Caenorhabditis elegans: one gene and its partners. The protein of the gene in region 1 purifies or fractionates together with the protein of each later gene. This does not show direct contact. Each region holds a gene or a part of one and is shown in the gene's direction. Other genes may lie near its edges.

The links.
Region 2: the proteins of cip-2A (region 1) and dhs-11 fractionate together in Caenorhabditis elegans (co-fractionation; one large-scale study listed by BioGRID). This does not show direct contact.
Region 3: the proteins of cip-2A (region 1) and alkb-7 fractionate together in Caenorhabditis elegans (co-fractionation; one large-scale study listed by BioGRID). This does not show direct contact.
Region 4: the proteins of cip-2A (region 1) and B0222.5 fractionate together in Caenorhabditis elegans (co-fractionation; one large-scale study listed by BioGRID). This does not show direct contact.

What each region holds. Positions count from the first base shown.
Region 1 is NC_003280.10:270,671-275,736, reverse strand, and holds the start of cip-2A (CIP2A N-terminal domain-containing protein), read left to right. Parts: upstream 1-1,764; 5' UTR 1,765-1,843; coding exon 1,844-1,912; intron 1,913-2,128; coding exon 2,129-2,324; intron 2,325-2,564; coding exon 2,565-2,835; intron 2,836-3,208; coding exon 3,209-3,372; intron 3,373-3,907; coding exon 3,908-4,070; intron 4,071-4,231; coding exon 4,232-4,388; intron 4,389-5,066.
Region 2 is NC_003281.10:10,639,928-10,644,532, reverse strand, and holds dhs-11 ((3R)-3-hydroxyacyl-CoA dehydrogenase), read left to right. Parts: upstream 1-1,667; 5' UTR 1,668-1,678; coding exon 1,679-1,709; intron 1,710-1,764; coding exon 1,765-1,919; intron 1,920-1,968; coding exon 1,969-2,055; intron 2,056-2,302; coding exon 2,303-2,548; intron 2,549-3,431; coding exon 3,432-3,647; 3' UTR 3,648-3,697; downstream 3,698-4,605. Other genes in the region: orc-1 (Origin recognition complex subunit 1), read right to left, coding at 303-406, 467-1,399.
Region 3 is NC_003280.10:12,785,762-12,790,224, reverse strand, and holds alkb-7 (Alpha-ketoglutarate-dependent dioxygenase AlkB-like domain-containing protein), read left to right. Parts: upstream 1-2,071; 5' UTR 2,072-2,084; coding exon 2,085-2,191; intron 2,192-2,447; coding exon 2,448-2,541; intron 2,542-3,012; coding exon 3,013-3,186; intron 3,187-3,465; coding exon 3,466-3,593; intron 3,594-3,662; coding exon 3,663-3,843; 3' UTR 3,844-3,903; downstream 3,904-4,463. Other genes in the region: cpt-1 (carnitine O-palmitoyltransferase), read left to right, coding at 348-854, 1,537-1,629.
Region 4 is NC_003283.11:9,151,378-9,156,835, reverse strand, and holds B0222.5 (BPTI/Kunitz inhibitor domain-containing protein), read left to right. Parts: upstream 1-1,963; 5' UTR 1,964-1,966; coding exon 1,967-2,046; intron 2,047-2,286; coding exon 2,287-2,345; intron 2,346-2,389; coding exon 2,390-2,506; intron 2,507-2,564; coding exon 2,565-2,648; intron 2,649-2,690; coding exon 2,691-2,822; intron 2,823-2,867; coding exon 2,868-3,013; intron 3,014-3,062; coding exon 3,063-3,174; intron 3,175-3,396; coding exon 3,397-3,489; intron 3,490-3,776; coding exon 3,777-3,890; intron 3,891-3,933; coding exon 3,934-4,106; 3' UTR 4,107-4,515; downstream 4,516-5,458. Other genes in the region: B0222.15 (Activin_recp domain-containing protein), read left to right, coding at 100-187, 241-301, 360-420, 1,081-1,221.

The sequences.
Region 1 (5,066 bases):
CTCTTCCTATATTAAATCCTGAAATTGCATTCTTGACAGAAATAAAAAATAAGGGCACGTTGTCGTAATGGGGTGTCCGATAAAAATGTACAAACTTTGAGCTTTAATAACTTGGCTCATAGCTGGCGCTTTTGCATTCACTAAGTGCGAATGACTCAAAAATAGTTGCCCCACCATGGTCATTATTGAGAGGATTGGTTTTGGGAAGGGTAGAACACTGATTTGCGCAGGTTTCTGGAGACCGCGAAAATTGAATATTTTCTTTGTACTGAAGAGTTTTATGTTTTTCAGTCCCAAATCTTCAGTTTTTCTGGCATTTGGTTCCAATTTGTGCACAAGATAGAACTTCGAATTACCAATTTTTTGAAACTATTTGGAAAAAAATTGACCAACTTTCCAAAATGTAGGCCATCATTCAAATTTTGCAAAATTAAAAGAATGGATTAAACGTGAAAAACTTTTCTACCACTCTCTCTTTCTTTATTTTTGGGGATGAATTCGATAATTTTAATTTCTTATTTTAATAACGTGAGGAAGTTCAATTTTAAAGATTTTTCGAGATTTTTACTTTTTCTCTAATCCTATTGAGGACCGCACTTCTCGGACATTTTGGTCACTTTAAACCTCACTTCCAGCAGGGCAGGCTGGAGGCCTGCAATGCTATTGTTTTTCACTCAAACCCAAAAATCAGGGATGAAGACCTCCCTCTTACTCTTAGAAACTTTAGACCTTTTCTATCCCTACTCCCAGCAGAGCAGGCTGGAGGCCTTCTATGAGACGTATGTTTCCATAACTACGTCTGTTTTTGGAAAGGTCAGGTAATCCGGATTGAGGGCCGCAGGCCCGAATACACAAAAGTATTGAACAGCCATTAAGCCTATTCTGAGCCCAATAAACCCGAGTTGAGGGCCGCATGTCCGAATACACGAAGAAGTGTTGGAGATCCGTCAAGCCTATTTTTGCCCGAATACATGTAGAAACAGTGGGGAACCGTTAAGTGCGATTTGAAAAGTGGAAACTGTTATTTATAAAATTATCATTAAACTAAATTCTTGAGTTACTCTACGCCGAACCAAACTGCGAAGCCTAGCAAATCTCCGATTTGCTAGTCATCTCGTAGATATTCAAATTCGGTTTTGGAATTTTAGATAAATCCTAGACATACAGAAATTCTAAGATTTAGCTCTAGTTTGAACGCTACAGTGGAATTTAAATATTTTTACTTGTGTGATTTTATTCAGTTCGATGATATGAACTTTGGTATTCATGACTGAAAATCCAATAGAATGAAGCTTAGTTTTTCATAGTTTTGAGCAGTTTTCCCAGCAAAAAGGTTCCAAATCCTGATTTTCCCTAGTTTCCAATTTAGACAAGGATTACTGTAGCTACCGGGGCCACTAAAAATCATTTTTTGTGGCTTGTGTGCTTCTATCCAAATTGATGGTATGAATACCGGTATTCTCGGCTGAAACATGCAATAAATACCGTATTCCAACCAACAATTCGGTGCAATAGAGCACATTTGTCACCGAAAATGCGGAAGCTATGCCCAAATTTTTAGGAAAATCTCAAGATTTTTGCTATTTATAAGCGTAAATCCCTAGCAAAGATATCAATGTCCTTTTGGTATTTGCTCAAACCCTCCGAATCCGTTCTTGTTGATCCACTTATGTCTAGAACGCTTAATTAGCGCAGTTACTACTGTTCCCTTGTACTTTTAATAGACCTTACATTAGCGCGAAAAATCTGGTGTATAAGGTACTTTTTCAGCAATTTCCTCATACCTACTCACCTATTCTACTCAATTAATAACCTAGGAAGCGATTTTTTTTGATGGAAAACTATGGAAAGGAGCAGTTTTCGAGCGTCACAGAGATTTGCAAGAGATCCACCACCGCCGAATATCAATGAGGTATATAAGGGGGCAGTGAGCAAGTGCGCCCCACTGAGAAAATATGCGAAAACAATGCCAACGTGCTCTAATAAAATGGATTTGTAAGCAAGCGCGCGAGCAATAAAACTTTGAAAAATTCAAATTTCCGTTTACGAGGAAGCGCGCTCTGTGGAAAAATCCAATTTTTTGAATTTTCAGTGCTATGCAACCCTGCTCTAACGCTAGAATTTCCAGACTGACGCAATTTTCTCGTTGGCGACTACTTCCGCTGCCAGATATGTATCGGATAGCAGTGCTGACAACACAACTCGCCTCGATGAAGCGCTTAACGGAATGATCCGCTACGTGGCAGACATGGATCGAGCCACACGGTTATCGCTGAAAAATCAGCAATTGAAAGAGTTTTTGACGTATACCCCAGTGATTTTAAGTGAGTTTTTGGACCTGACCCAAAAATTATGGAAATTCTATTTTTAAAAAAATCGTTTTTCGAAAAATAAATTTTGTTTTTGACTCACCGCGGTGATCACCGGACCTCAATAATTCACGAAAATGTTCTAATTTTTCAGTTTTCAAAGCCGAAAATTCAATTTTTTTTTCAAATTTCTGTAAAAATCACTAATTTTCCCATTGCGTACCCAATACACCATATTTGACGCGCAATTTCCAGATGCCTCCACAACAAACATTGTAACACGCTCGAAATTCTACCGACTTCTCTTCTCAATTGCCCATCATAATATACCGATTCGTCGATTTATGGCCGGAGAGCTTCGACTTCTTGGAGCAGTATTTTCATGTCTAAAAGCATCACTTCGAGAACAATTAGGACCACAAAATATGATTGATATTCTCAGATTATTACAAGTTTTAAGTTATGAAAAGAATGTGCCATTGGAACATTGGGCAAACGAGCTTATATCGTTTTTAATGCAAGAAGTGTGAGTTTGAGGGCGAAAATTGCAAAAATTGATATATTTTGCATATTCTGCGACTGGTAGAAATTTTTATTTAAAAAATCTACAAAAAGCAAGTTTCTAACATTTTTTTTCGACAAATTTGCAATTTTCTGGTTACTGTAGTTCAGAAGCTAATTTCCAGCAAGGAAATCAACAAAAACCGAAATTCCGGTTACTGTGGCTTCAAAAGTACGCAAATTCACAGAAATTCAATTATAGAATTTTGTGGGATTTTTAAAAGATTTTTTCTTTAAATTATAGGAACAAAAATTTTACGATAATTTTAAAATTCGGGCTAAAATTTTTTTTGCTCGCAAATTAGATCAATTTTTCTAATTTTTCAAACATTTTTCAGAATACGAGAACCCGAACCAGAATGGATGCCATACTGTATTGCAATACTGTGCAATTTGGCTTCTGCATCGAAATCTGCGTGTAAACGAATAAAAATATCTACGTCATACAAGAAGTTTAGCAGGCAATTGATGAAATTACTACAGCACAACGCGAGGATAATCGGTAATTTTTGGAATAATCGAGTTTTCAGAATTTTTAGTGAAAACATGAAAATTTGAATTAATGACATAGTTGGAATTCCAATAAAATTTTTTTTTTGAAATTAGGACCACCGAAATTGATTTTTGGATTATTGATATTTAAGAATTTTTTGATTTACGGAATATTTTTAAAAATTAATTTTTTTTCATTTTTCAGTAGTTCCAAAAAACTGAAAAACAATTAGTTTTCGAAAAAGTCGAAAAAATAATTTTATTTTTAAAAAATTCGCAAAATATTGTATTTTTAGAAAAAAAATCGAAAAATTGAATTTTCAAAAAATTCGAAAAAAAATTATTCTAAAAAAAAAACCGAAAACTTGTTTTATTTTCATGAAATTCGCAAAAGAAAAAACATCGAAAAACTGTTTTATTTTTGAAGAATTCGAAAAAAAAAAATTTCAAAAAACAAAAAATTGTTTTATTTTTTAAAAACTCGGAAAAAATTGAAATTCAAAAAATAACAATTTTTAACAAATCGAAAAAAAAAGTATTTGCAGTCGTCTCAAGCCTGGTACTAATTGGATATTTGGACGAGAAAGTTCGAGATATGGTGTACTGTACTGAGAATGTCCATGATACATTTATGTGTACTTTTAATGTTCTTACTATTGGAGATGACGATTGTATGATGACACGACAGATTGCAGCTGATTTGTTGAGGTAATAAAATAATTTCCAGCGAAAAATAGTAGAAATTCAGTGAAAATTGGAGAAAAATAAGAAAATTTAGTTCATTTCTAAACTCTTTTGAAATTTACAATTTTAATGTAACGTATGAATTAAATAAATGTTGCTAAATTTCCTAAATTTCCTAATTTCAGACGCCTAGTTGTCTCGGAAAGCTCAACAACGCCCGGAGTGCCAACACTTGCTTCAACTGGCAAGAATGTGTTGAATTATGGATTTTTCATTGGAAGTATACAACAGACCGCACGTCTCCTGGTAACACTGGATCCAAGGACTGAGGAGAGCTCTAAGGTAGTGGAAAGCATGGGGTTTCAGAAAAAAAAAGTGACAAAAAACTAGAAGCGTTAATATGGGAAAATTAATTTCACGCTTAGAAGTTCAAGTAGATATGTTTAGAAAAATTTATTTTTCCAAAGTTTTGAGCAAAATTTTCAGCAAATTCTGAGTTTGCCAGAGTTTCCATTAAGCAAGGGTTACTGTAGCTTCGGAAGCCATTAAAAATGAATTTCTGTGGCTTGTGTGGCTATCCTAATTGATGGCTGGAATATCGGTATTCTCGGCTGAAACATGCAATAAATACCGTATTCCAACCAACACTTTGTGCAATAGAGCACATTTGTCACCGGAGATGCGGAAGCTATGCCCAAATTTTGAATTTTTCTGAGAAAATGATAAAAAATTGCAATTTTCACCGTTTTTTTCCAAAATTTTTAAGTTTTCGTTTAACAAAAAAACGCCGAAAATTGCTCTGAAAATGCCATATAACTCCCATAAAGATTACTGTAGCTTCCGTAGTCTCTAAAAATGAATTTCTGTGGCTTATGTGCTTCTATCCTAATTGATGGCTGGAATATCGGTATTCTCGGCTGAAACATGCAATAAATACCGTATTCCAACCAACAATTCGGTGGAATAGAGCACATTTGTCACCGGAGATGCGGAAGCTATGCCCAAATTTTCATTTTTCTT
Region 2 (4,605 bases), on another chromosome or scaffold:
TTTTTTAAAGCAAGGAAAATACGTCTTTTTAAGCAGTTTTTTGACAGTTTTCAGCATAATATTTTCTTTAAAAACTTGCGATTAAGCTGAAAACTGTCTAAAAATGCTCAAATTGATCCATTTCCAAGCTTTAAAACAAAAAATTCCCCGTTAACTTATGAAAAAACTCAGAAATTAGCCAACAATTTTCGAAAAATTCGAATTTCGGAGGATTCCGCGCAAAATTTTGAGCATTTTCCAATGAGTTCTGCAGTTGTTAGATGGAAATTGTTCGATTTTCAACTTTTCCGAGACGTCCTTACCCGTTGTAAATCTCTACGAATACAGTTTTTTTGAAGATCATCGCATTGACCTCGACGTACACGAATTTCTGACACTTTTTGCTCTTTTTCATCGAGTTGACGACCTGAAAAATAGAATTTGAAAACCAGAAATTTGGAAAAATAATTTAAAAATTAAGTTTTACCGCTCGAACAGTGGCTGTCTTCCCTGTGCCTGGAACTCCACTAATATACATTGCAGAGCTCTCGCCACGTTTTGGATCAATAACTTCTCGAATGAATTTCTCAATTTCTCGAGACTCAATATCTCGGCATGGGAGCTTCTCGGGCACCTTTGAGAGATGAAGCCTGCTCGCCAGCTCTTTCAGAGTTGAAGCCGATCGGGAATCCAGTGGATCCACAAGATCTTCGAGTTCTTCACTGTTCTGGCGTGCCCTTCTACGGGTTCTCAGTGTTCCACCTGGCGTTTTGCTGATCACTAGTGGAGTTACTTTCTGGGTTATCATTTTTGAAGGGATCTTTATTGTGATTGGTGTTCTTTTGTTAGTTTTCGAATAGAATTTCTCGTCAATTTCATCGCTGAAATCATCTTCATCGTCATCATCTTCTTCTTGAAATACTCGAGCTTTATTTGTTTTCCTTGAAATCTCAACTTTTCGAGGTGATTTACTCTCTTTGAATAGAGTTTTTGAAGTGGAAACTTTCGACACTGAAGCTTTACTTAATTCCCGAGCAAGCCTCTTCGATGGAGTCTCTTCAAGCCTTGTCGGAGTCCTGCTTCTTGTAACTCTTCTATTTTCTTTATCACTGCAGCTATCTTCTTCTGAGAAATTCTCGCCGATTTCATCGGAAAAATCGATTTCCATTTGATTATCGTGATCTACGGCTTTCAGCTCGTCTTTTGTCGCGGCGTACTCATCTTCTCCATCAGAATCTGAAGATGATGAGGACGAAGAAGAATCCGATTTATATGTGCATTGTGGAGCTCCTCTGAGGCGAACGGAGCTTCGCTTTACGATTTTAGGAGCTGATTTCGGGAGATTAGTGATTCTTGTCGATCTCCGCTTGACTGGAGTGGCGGATACAGTCTTTGACGTTTCAGATTTGCGAGTATTCATTGTGAGAAGCTGAAGGAACGATATTTTTATAATAAAAATCGACAAAAACCAGAGAATAATGATGAAAATGCGCGAAATCGAGGAGAACGCTTTCGAATTCAAAAGTGGCGCTCTCTGCGTACACGACGGTGTTTGCACACATTGCATACCGTACCACCCGGGAATGTCTACGTCTCTTCGTCTCACACAGTCTCTCGTTCTAAATTTTTTGGATTTTTTAATTTTTAATAAAAATTTTCAAAAATAAATTCTTCTCAGCATTTTTTAGGTAAATCTACAATGCTTTCATCGAAATTGGCAATTGTCACTGGTAATTTTAACTAATTTTAATTTAAAAAACTAGCAAACTCTACAAAAAATCCCAGGCGGTGGATCAGGAATCGGACAAGCAATTTGCAAGAAATTCGCAGCTTCTGGAGCCCGTCTCATCGTTGCAGACCTCAAAAAATCGGCAGCAGAAGCCACAGCAGGCAATCTTCCTGGAAATGGGCATTCGGCCTTTGAGATTGATGTCAGCGATGTGAGAAAGAGAAAATTCAAGAATTGAATTGTTTAAAAATTGTTTTCAGCCAGAACACGTGGCTCGTCTACAAGAATTCATAAAATCTTCCGGAGAATCGCCATCTGTGCTCGTGAATTGTGCAGGCATCACCAAGGTTAATAGAATATCGGAATTTCGTAGTTTTCTGGGACTCTTGCCTAAAGGCGCACGAGTTTTTCCAGATGGGTCTCGCCAGGAAAATAATTAAAAGTTAGTTTTTATAAATATACAAAATCAAATATGGCTGAGATCGTGGCGAGACCCAAAGAAATGGCGTGCACCTTTAAACTGACGTTTCAAATAAATTACCGTGTCTCTTTTATATCTTAGAACACTGCAAAATTGACCTTTTTACATTTTAGGACGCTACCCTGTTGAAAATGAGCCAGAATCAGTGGCAGGATGTGATGAATGTCAATTTGAATAGTGTTTTTCTGATGTCTCAGATGATTGCTCGTGAATCTGTGGCCGCCGGATCTCCGCTCTCCATTGTAAACGTGTCGTCGATCGTCGGAAAAATCGGAAATTTCGGCCAAACTAACTACGCTGCCACTAAATCTGGAGTGATTGGTTTTACGAAATCGGCAGCCAGGGAGCTTGCCACAAAGGTAAAATCAATTAAAAATTGATTTTCAGATTGTTCTAACCACCCATTTTTTAATTGTTTTTCTCAATTTGCAAAAAAAAATCTGGGGCACAAGACGACATGTTTGACGAGCAAAATATCTCGTAGCGGAAACTACAGCAACTCTTCTAATGACTACTGTAGCGCTGATGTCGATTTACGGGCTCAGCGATGTTCCATGATCCTAAATTATTTTAATTATTCATTTCAAATATCGAGCTCGTAAATCGACACAAGCGCTACAGTAGTCATTTGAAGAATTTCTGTAGTTTTCGCTACGAGATATTTTGCGCGTCAAATATGTTGCGCAATACGCATTCTCAGAGTATTGTTTTCCCGTAATAAGACTGTCATTGTCGATTTTCGCAGCGCGTGTACTTGTTGAGGTCCCTTTTGTAGATGGTTCTTAAGCTTTTGGCTATAGGGTCCAAAAAATCGGACGGTTCTACAAACATGAATTTGAAAAAAAAACACGACTCGTCACCGAGGCTTGCCGAGGTAGTTGCAAGCATTCCCATGATGAAGGTATTGAGCTGAAAATATCATTGCGAGTAATATAAAAGATGTCTTAATCCTTACCAACAGGGGGTTGACGAAGTTCATTGCGGATGATACAGTATGAACTTTATGAAGGACATTAACGTTTTAAATAGAAGAATTTTAATTGAATTATCATACTGGACATAACATTTTGATGTTCAATTCACTATTCCTCATGGGAAACTTTTTGAAAAATAAACTGGGAAACAAAACAATGATCGGTTTCTGGTGTTTAAATCGGTTCGGCACCAACGAAGATCCAATCGGACAGTTGCCCAGTAAAATATTATAAAATTCTAAATAATCTAAAATTCAACATTTTCCAGAACATCCGCGTGAATGCTGTGCTCCCCGGCTTCATCAGAACACCAATGACAGAGGCTATGCCTCCGAAGGTCCTTGATGCAATGGTCTCGATGGTTCCACAACGGAGACTCGGTGAGACTGAGGAGATCGCGAACGCCGTGTTGTTCCTGGCATCGGATATGTCTTCATATGTCACTGGAACCACGTTGGAAGTTACTGGAGGACTTGGAATGTAGAATTTAAAGAATTTGGACTCCTCTTTTTAGCTTTCAAATAAAATTGCTTCTTCGTTTTTTTCTGTGTTTCTGATTCGTATAGTCATTACCACGATTTGTGTTTTTGCCCTTTTGCAAGGAAGAATGTCTCAAGCGTCCTCTCGGGGCGTTTGTATGTGTGTGTGTGTGTTTTTTGTTGGCTCCTCGCCGTGTGCTCAATCTCATTTAATGTAATGGTTCCGCGAGCACCTTCTCATCTCCCACAATACTCTCTCGTCGCCCATAAAAAACCCGGGAGTGCTCGCCGTGCCGGGTGGTCCTTCTAGAAACTATCTGCGTCTGAGAAGAAGAAAGTGCAAACACAAGCACACACACACATATACGTTTCCAGATTTATAGTCATTTGGAACTTTTGCTCCGTGCCAGTCAGACGGGTGATACGGAAGTCGGCAAAAAACAAGCAACTGTTTTTTTATTAGTTGCACTTTTAGATATTGGAATTGAACAAAAAAAATATTTTCTAGTATACGATTCATATCGAGTACAACTGGGAATGCACTTTAAGGATTGACTTTTGGAATTAAGCTATTTTAGGATTCATTATTATGGGAACACAAAACTCTGAGAATACGCATTGCACACTATATTTGACGCGCAAAATATCTCGTAGCGAAAACTACAGTAATCTTTAAATGGCTACTGCAACGGGTGTCGTACGAAAAAAACTGACGTAAATGTGAAAACAACAAGATCGTGTAAATCAACACAAGCGCTACAGTAGTCATTTAATGGATTACTGTAGTTTTCGCTACGAGATATTTTTCGCGTCAAATATGTTGTGCAATACGTATTCTCAGAATTTCGTGGTCTCGTAATATTTAGGTTTTTCCGAAATTTCAGTCAAGGTTTTTCACGTGGTGTCAGGCAGTCTCTTCACGGTTTGATCTACAAAACCTGTCAGTCACGTGGTGCCAGAGTG
Region 3 (4,463 bases), about 13 Mb from region 1:
TCCCAATTTTTCAGGCTAATTTTGAAATTTCCAGTTTTCTTCACGGAGAATTGTGTTTGAAATATTGACAAATAGTGTATTAAATCAAATTCGAAAGGAAAAAACTGTAAATTTACCCTGAAAACGCAAAAAAATGTCAAAAGTGACGTCATTCATAGTTTCTTTGATTTTTGAAAAATTGAAAAAAAAAATCATTAAAAATTCAGAAATTTTTTTTGAATTTTTTTCAGTTATATTCGGTCATTTAGAGCAAAAAAAATTTTTTTTTTGAATTTTTAGAAGCAAAATCCCCATTAACGCTACTCCACCTTTAAAAAACACCGTAAAATAACTCAATTTTTTTGCAGAATCAAAATAAATTCTCGCTGACCTACGAAGCCTCAATGACCCGTCTCTTCCGTGAAGGACGTACCGAAACTGTCCGTTCCTGCACTGTCCAATCCTCGGATTTCGTTCGTTCAATGCTCGACGCCTCGAAGACGCCTCAAGATCGCCTCCAACTCCTCCGTAAAGCATGCGACAAGCATCAGGAGCTGTACCGAGACGCGATGTGTGGACAAGGAGTCGATCGTCATCTCTTCGCTCTCTACGTTATCAAGAGATATTTGGAAGAGGAATCCCCGTTTTTCGATAATATCTTCCCACCGACATACTTGCTCTCAACTTCCCAGACTCCGATGAATCAGTGCGAAGCTGATGCCAAGGGACTTTCCAACGAAGTTCGCTTGAGATTGATCACTGCCGGAGGTGGATTCGGTCCGGTGGCTGATCGGGGTTACGGTGTCTCTTATATTGTTGCAGGGGAAGATACTCTGTCTTTCCATATCTCTAGCAAGAGATCTGCCGATAATACGGTAATTTTTGTTTTACAGTTACAGTATTTTTCTCTGAAAAACCCCCGATTTTTTGGAAAAAAACCCAGATTTTCTGGAAAAAAAAATCTATTTTTTGTCTAAAAAAACCCAGATTTTTTGGAAAAAAATACCAATTTTTTGTTTAAAAAAAACCCGATTTTTTTGGAAAAGCCAGAATTTTTTCAGAAAAAAACCCAGATTTTTTGGAAAAAAACCGAATTTTTTGTTTAAAAAAAGCAGATTTTTTGGAAAAAAATACCAATTTTTTGTTTAAAAAAAACCCGATTTTTTTGGAAAAGCCAGATTTTTTTCAGAAAAAAACCCAGATTTTTTGGAAAAAAACCGAATTTTTTGTTTAAAAAAAGCAGATTTTTTGGAAAAACCCGAGATTTTTTGTTGAAAAAACCCAGATTTGTTGGAAAAAAACCAATTTTTGGGAAAGACTCAGATTTTCTGGAAAAAATCCCCAGATTAAAAAAAACCAGATTTTTTGAAAAAAACCCAAATTTTCTGGAACGAACAAAAGATTTTTCGTTTGAAAAAACCAGATTTCTTATTGTAAACAATATTCATATTGTGGAAAAAAATTTTTTTTTAAACTTATCTTCAAAATTCGAAAAAATTTGAGCAATTTTTGCCGAAAAACCACAAAATTTATCTATTTCATCCAATTTTCTTCCAGAGCTCCCGTGAATTCCGTGAAGAGCTCAAGCGCTCGCTCAACGACATGAAGAAGCTCGCCGAGGCGATTGAGGCGCCGAAGAAAAAGCAATAAGTGCTCCGTCTGAATTTATTTTTTTAAAAAATGTTTTTTTTTGGTTTTCCCGGCCATTTTTAACCCGCAATTTTTCCCTTTTGTTGTCTCCTTTTCACACACACACTTCGTGTACATTATACGTCCTTCTGAAAAATGCTCATTTTTATTGGATTTTTTTCCCTCAAAAAACTTGTCTGACTGGTAACAAAATGTAATTGTAAATACTAACAAAAATTTGTTTTTCCGAAAAAAAAAAGGAAATTTCCATGTATTTCCCCCAACCCTTTCCACTTTGTATGTCGAAGCCCTCAGCATAATGCGTTTTTTTATTTCTTTTCGACTATAAAATCATTGTGATTTTTAAAGAAAATAGTTCAACAGGAAAATGGTTTAAAAGCCGTAGAAAGCCGTGCTTTAGAATATTCTCAGAAATTGGAAATTTACAACAAAAATGTTTCAGTGGAACAGAAAATATGAAAATTACACCGAGAACTCTGCAACATTTGATAAAATTTCATAATTTGGAACTGTGGCCGAAGGATTTGGCTGAAACTATGAAAACCTGCTGTTATGTTAAAAAGTAGGCAAGAATTTGAAATTTTGAGCGAAATTGGTATTAGAGCGGATTTGCATACTCCACAATTTTCAAATTTTACGTGAAATCGGTGAAATCAGAGAAATCGTCAAAGGAGCGCGATTGCAACTTGAAAAAATTTGAATTTAAATTGGAAGCAGCGAAACTCTGGGGAATTATCCGTAGAGCGTATTTGCAAGTTTAAAAAAAGATTATTAGCATTGGAGCGCGCTTGCAACCTTAAAAATTTCGAAATTTTCAGAGATTTCATCACAGAAGCCGAAGAGAAAAGCCTTCTCGTCGACGTTGAGCCACACATGAAGCGTCTTCGGTACGAGAAGAGCCATTGGGACGATGTAGGAGTTTTTGATCATTTTTATGAGGAAAACAGATTTAAAATTTACAAAATTCAAAAAATGATAGTTTTGTGAAAAAAAATTTATTGAAAATCTCGGATAAAATATGTTTTAATCCAAAATTTGACATAAAATTTGAAATTTAGAGTTCTCAGTCAATAAAACATTACTGGTGGCTTAGAAATATTATTCTAGGCCATCAATATATTGTCGATGACCTAGAAATTAAAATTTTGGATTTCTAGGTCATCAATATAGAATTGGTGGCCTAGAAATAATATTCTAGGCCATCAGTAAATTGTCGATGGCCTAGAAATTGAAATTTTGGATTTATAGGTCATCAGTATAGAATAAGTGGCCTAGAAATCGTGTTCTAGGTTTCAGATGAATTCATGGCCTAGAAATACCTATTTCGAATTTCTAGGCCACCAGCAAGCTTCCCGTGGCCTAAAAGTCTCCCATATTTTCTAGGCCATCCACCTATACCGAGAACGTGAGCAACGAAAATGGCGAGACGAGAATCTCGAAGTGATCTCCCGCATCCGGAGTGAATCGTTCGGCGCCAACACCGAACATTTGACCTACGTGCATATTTTGGATCTACACAAGGACGGTGTCATCAAACCACACATTGACGCGATTCGAGTGCGTGCAAGTTGACCAGGGTTCTGGGCTTCCTCATCGAATTTTTCGCGCTCTATTGACAATCCCCCGCCGGACAACGCGTGGGAAAGTCGTGTACTCCACACGGACAAATACATTTAGTTTTACAACTAAAATCGAGCCGCGACGCGACACGCAACGCGCCGTAAATCTACCCCAGATATGGTCGAGCCAACATGGCCTAGTTCGGCAATTATTATCATTAGAGCGCATTTAAAACTTATAACTCAAAAATATTCAAAAAAAATCCGAAATTTTCAGTATTGTGGTGACGTCATCACGGGTGTCTCCCTGCTCTCCGACGCTATTATGCGGCTCCGGCACAAGGATCAGAAGGATGAACTGATTATGGATCTTCTGATGCCTAGAAGAAGTTTATATCGATTAGGGTGAGTTTAGCCATAGAGCGAACTTGCTCACCACATTTTTAAAAAATCTAAAAAATTCGAAAATTTCAGCGGTCCCGGACGATACGATTTCACACATGAGGTGCTCGGCGAGCAGGAAAGTGTGTGGAACGGAGAACAAGTGCCCAGGGAGCGAAGAATATCGATTATTTGTAGAGATCTTCCGAAAGTGGCGAATCGGCAGACGGCTGAGGAGGAGATTAAGCTGAAACCGATTCCTGAAGAAATTTAATTGTTTTTATTACCTGTGGTTCTTAGAATAAATTGTTGCAATTAATAAACAATTAATTATATTTTTGTATTTCATTATTATCTAGAGGCGAAATATTGCGATTTTAGCGCCAAACATGGTCTCGACACGACAGATTTTTGTTAAATGCAAAAAGGGGCGCGCCTTTAAAGAGTACTATAGTTTTTATCGATTTTCAGAGAAATTTCAAACTACAGTACTATTTAAAGGCGCACAGCTTTTTCGATCAAACCAGAATTTGTCGCGTCGAGACCTGGTACCGTATTTTGGCGCAAAATTTAGCTTCTGGTTAATAACACAATGTTATAATAACTTCTCCAGCACAGAAAATTAGCAGTATTTGAAGGTACGAATATATTACGGAAACACAAAATTCTAAGAATACGTACTGCGCAACATGTTTGACGTGCAAAATATCTCGTAGCGAAAACTACAGTAACTCTTTAAATGACTACTGTAGCGCCTGTGTCGATTTACGGGTTGTTCTATCTTATCGATAGAGAAGCTTAAAAATGAGAAAATATTGCAAAGAAACTAGTGAAAATGGAATATCGCTCGTAAATCGACACAAGCGCTACAGTAGCCATTTAAAGAATTACTGT
Region 4 (5,458 bases), on another chromosome or scaffold:
TTAAATTCAACTCTTCATCTCAAACTCTGTGGAAATGACACTCCTAAAAAGTTAAATTTCAGTTGAACTCCGTATTAAACCAAGTGAACGGAAACAATTATGAGCGTGCACCCTGTCATTATCTGTCTTTTCATTTTCTTTTTCATTTTGCCGCCTTCTGCAGATACTACTGTGAAGTGTTTTAAAGGTACGTTGAATGAGCAGAAGAGCATTTCGTGTGCGTGACGAGTGATTCTTTAGGGTTCTCGGGAGATGGAAGGCCGTTCAAACAACGTCTTTGTCAGACAGAATATTGCATAAAGTGGGTTGAAAGAAGAAAAAGAAAAGGCAGCAAGTTTATTGGAATTTTCATTTTGCAGAACGACAGAGCCAACTGGCGGAGCTACTTACGGATGTGATGACTTTACGCCGTTTTGCAAAGTGAGCGAACAAAACGAGTTTGAAATTGAAAGAACAAATGTGCAAAGTGAAAATCAGAAAAAAAATTGTCGAAAAGATTGAATGTGGCGCAGCCCTGGTGTAGATTTTCTGGAAATTAATTATAAAAACCATACTCATTGAAAGAGCAATGTCAACTTTAACAGAAAACAAATACTAGAAGCGGACAAAACCCATATGTAGCGGACAAAGCCCAATGCTACATACTGTAACTATGGAAAAATAACGGAATACACTTTCGCTTGTAGAAAATGAGTGGGGTCAATGCCGGTTTTATCTAAATGTATGTATTGTCAATTTGCCAAAAAATGACCAACAGTGAATAAAAATCACAATAAGGATTATTTAAACTTAAATTTAAAAACAGCGTATTTTTCTATCGTCTGACACTTAACAATGGTTCCGGTCTTTGAAAAAAATATTAGAAAAATACATTCCTATATGTTATACTTGAAGCTCGATTCCCGTATTGTTTCTCAAAAGTATAATTTATGATTCTTAGTGATAGAAATTCATTCTAGAACGTTTTGTTGTTTTCTTATTCTAAAAACTCGTGAGTAACGTTTTCTTCCAGTGATTTCCATAGAAACTTCTAGACTTTTCTATTCTTTTAATCTTTTCTCAATGTTTTCTTTTTTTCAGAAAGACGAATGCGTGGTCACTTCGAAACAAAGTAAAGTCTGTTGCTGTAATACTGATCTGTGTAACTCTTCTCCAATCACTTTCTGGCCTGTGTCTCTACTATTCTTCATTTTATTTTCTTATTTTATGTCTAGTTATTAGTTTGAACTTTATTTATTTAAAAAAATATTCCGACAAAAACGGGTTATTTTCTGATGATTCACTTCTTTTCCCGAATAAATGTTTTTTCAACTAAAGGTAATTCTGTTAGTCAAACCAAATTTATTGGTGTAAAAACGAATCCAAAGAGAATAAGAGAATGTACCAGTTTTATCGATTGATCATTGCATTCTAGTAGTTGACATAATATGATAAAAAGGAAGTAAACCTTTTTTTTCGTTTTTCGTCGAACAAAGATTCGTTCAGCAATTGATTCCTTTTCTTGTTCTCAACTAGCACTGATACTGCTTAGTTTTTTCTTTTGAAAAAAGATACTGTTTCAATTTTTAATCTTTCTTGATTTTTTGAATCTTCGGAGAGAAGAAAGAATATAACTTGGCTTTCATATCCTAAGAAAATTATTTTTTTCTCGAATTTTTCCTTTATTTGAAATATTTTTGTTAATGTTTCCAAATATTTGTGAACACTTTTTGATTCACCTATTTCATATGCACAGAATTTATGTACATAAAAATAACTTACATAAAATTTCATCGGCGAGTGATGAAAATAACCAAAAGCCAGTAATTCCCAAATACAATAGATCACTCAATGATCAACTCATAGCTCTTACTATTTTTTGTTCTCGAAAATCAAATAATGTTTGTTTCACTAACTAGTTATTATTTACCTTCATTCATTTCCTCGTTTCAATCATTCCTTCGAACGCAATTTTTTGATTTCCGGCATGCGAGCTTTCTGCATAATATTACTTGTTGGATTCACCCAAGTCAATGCTCTGTTTGGAGACAGATTATTACGAGCCAGGTTAGTTCTTTGGAACAAAAATTGTTAGGCACAATTTATGAAAAACCAATTTTGAAATAATTAGAACCCTAGTAAGTGAAAATATTTTTCAACAGTTCGGTGTCCACTATTAAAAAAATAACAGTTTTGTTTAAGAATTTTATATTAATAAAGTGTTGAAGCAACTGGTGGAAATTTTAATTTTTCAACATTACTTTGCTTATTTCAAATTTATTATAAAAATGTAATATTTTATTACAGAAACCCAAAAACTGGACCATGCACGTTGAATGATGATGGACTAAAATGCAATGAAAATGGTGATTCTAAACTTTAAATTATATTAATTTATTCATAATTTTAGGATACTATGAAACTGTACAATGTAACTCTGAATCATGTTATTGTGTTACTCCTCACACTGCACTTGTTGCATACGACACACGAACCAACAATCCGAAAACCGCGCCAAAATGTGGAAGTAAGTAGAGACCATTCAATTTCCTAAGTTTTCCCAAAAGTGACGTTTATCGTTTCAGCTTGCCTTGTTTACCTCCAAAAGCTGTTTGCCGACGGAGATCCTCCAGAAAATAGTTTCGTACCAAAATGTGACGTCGGAAAAGGTATGAAAAAATAATGCTAAAGATAAAATATAAGTATTTAAGGTGATTTTGAGCCTGTACAATGTGACAGTAAGAAGAACCAATGCTACTGCGTGGACACAAATACTGGAAGAGAAATACAAGGGACACGAAAACCATTGAGTAACACAACAAAGATGAATTGCATGCAAATTGGTAGTTCAAAATCATGAATAATTTAAAATAATTCGATAATTTCAGATTTCTCCATCGATTCGTCAGCATTCCCCGCTTTTGAAAAACCAGATCCTGCCAAACCGAAAAATGATCAACCGATTGGAAAACCATGGTGTGCAAGTAACAGAAATGCTGGACATACATGCAATCAAAATAAAACTTCGATAAGAGTAAGTTGATTTTAAACCTAATAAAAAATCGGGCAAATATTTTTTTTAGTACTGGTTTGACGTTGAAACCTTCCAATGTTTCCCATTCGAACACAAAGGCTGTGGTGGAAATCAGAACTCCTATAGAACAAGTAGTGAATGCTATTTTGACTGTGTCTTGCGTAAGTTATCCACGTATTGTTTTCATGAATATAAGTGACGTTCACCAAGGAAAATGATCACAAGTAGGCCTATGGTACCAAAAATTGTAAAATGTTTCATACATTTTTGACCCAAAAGTTTGAAAACTCTGAGCCCCTCATTGACGTATTCAATTTTTAACTCAAAAATTCAATTTTTAACTCAAAAATCAAATACGATAATTGAATGCAGTTTTATTTCAGAAGACTACTTCAGTTGTGCAATGCAATCACAACCAGCTAGAAAGTCGAATGGACAATGGTATTCTTGCCCAGAAGGCCCAGATGGTCCACCAGGTATGTTTTGAGATTGATGGTTTTTTAATAAAACTTTCGAACTTTCTACTGCATAAATAATATTTGAAAATTAGCTACAAATTTTTGTGGTGAAAAACGAAACTTACAATTCCGGTTTATAAAATGTTATTTTTTATTTCATTTAAAGGATCCTGTTTTTCGGATCTGAGCTGTTTAAACGTTAGAAATACAATGTTTTAAAAACGAGTATTAGTTAGTTTAAAACTTTATTAAAGTAATAATGAACATTAAAAAAACTAACTGAAATATTGCTTCATATTTTTCAGGCTTCAAGACTACTACAACTCCAGGCCCAAAACTAACCTCTGATGGTTGTCCAAAGGGATATATTTGTTCTATGGGAGCATTCTTTGGTATTTGCTGCGAGGAGAACTTGACAAGTAAGTAATCATATTAGCGACAACCAAAACACAAAGTTTCCAGATCGCTACCAAGCAGCATTCAAACCATTATGCAAAAACAAGAAAGAAGCTTTGCAAACGAAACAGGACGATTGGTCGAGTGCAATGCTCGGAAAATCATGTTCCGATAGATTCTGTCCAAGCAGTCATACTTGTGAACATAACGAGTTTTTTGCATATTGTTGTCCGCGTTAATATGTGTGTTTTGACGTTTGTTTTCTTGCCCATTCGAACCGCCCTTCAATTCACATTCTAATTCAGGTTGTAATAAATAAGAAAAAGTATTTGTAGTTCTTTTGTTTTTCACAATGATATGTAATGTATATTAAACGACCTTTCATCTCTTCTGTCCTTTTCTTCTGTGTTGGTTTTCCACCCAGACAAATTGCCGGCCCCCTACTTTAAACGTGTCTTCTCATAGCATTGATTATTGATGCCTATGTGATATCAATATCTTTTATATTCATTTTCCCTCCTAAAAGAAATATGTTCAGAAAACTGCACCGAAACAAAGTCTTCGACCATACTAGATACTTGTTGATTTCTGATAGTGTCCTGTTCACCCCATAAAAATGTGTTAAATGCAGCAAGCAACAAAGTATATTTGTGATTGAAATTTGATGCGAATAGAATTTAAAAATAGAGTGATCACAGTTCTAGCAGAAAACGAATTTTCACAAATGAATCGGAATGATGACTTGGTCTATTTGAATTCGCTCAATGTCTCCGCAGACATGATGTGTACCCAAAAATGACTTGATTGATGATTTCACAAATGTTCCAGTTTAGTTTCGTGCTTTATGTGGAATATGCTACAAAACGCTAAAATACGATAATCGAAGGCTTCAAAACTAAACTGCGGTGGACTTTTCTAGCTCGAAATATGCAACTGAAACAGTTGTTGGGCTATTCTTTGCTCAAGAAAAAATTATTACGGCACAACAACTGTAATTTTTTTTTCTAGAAAAAAATTCATTTGAAAAATGGACGCTGATGAAAAAGTTATTAAATGAGCCGCGTAACTACATTGAAAAAATGTTAAACGTATTTTCAGAAATTGTTTTGTTAAATTGTAGAAAGAAGAATAATCAAAAATAAAACTCATAGTCAGGTAACTTTTTTTTGAATATTTTAAAGCAGAAAACGAAGGATCTCGTTTAAACTTATCAAGATTGTTTTTTGATGTCTTAGTTCAGTGTAGTTCTCTAAATAAAACAAGAAATATAGGTTTATCCGTATGTTTGCAGAAAATTAGTTCAACAGATCAAATGTTCATATTAACGTGACTTTTAAAAACATGAAAGACGGATCAGTTCAAAGTACGTTTCCGAAGTGAACACATGGAGATATTCAAAGTACATGCTGATCAAAAGAGCTTGAAATTAAAATTCGAAAATGTTCAATTGCCCTATATGCAAATTGAGAAAAACGTGCAAGTGGGGATCTTGTTAAAGATTTTGTTGTCTTAAACTTCCAGTCAAAATTTTGGCGGATTGCCAAATTTTTAAACAATACAATCTTTTAAGAAAATAAAAAGCAATGTCACA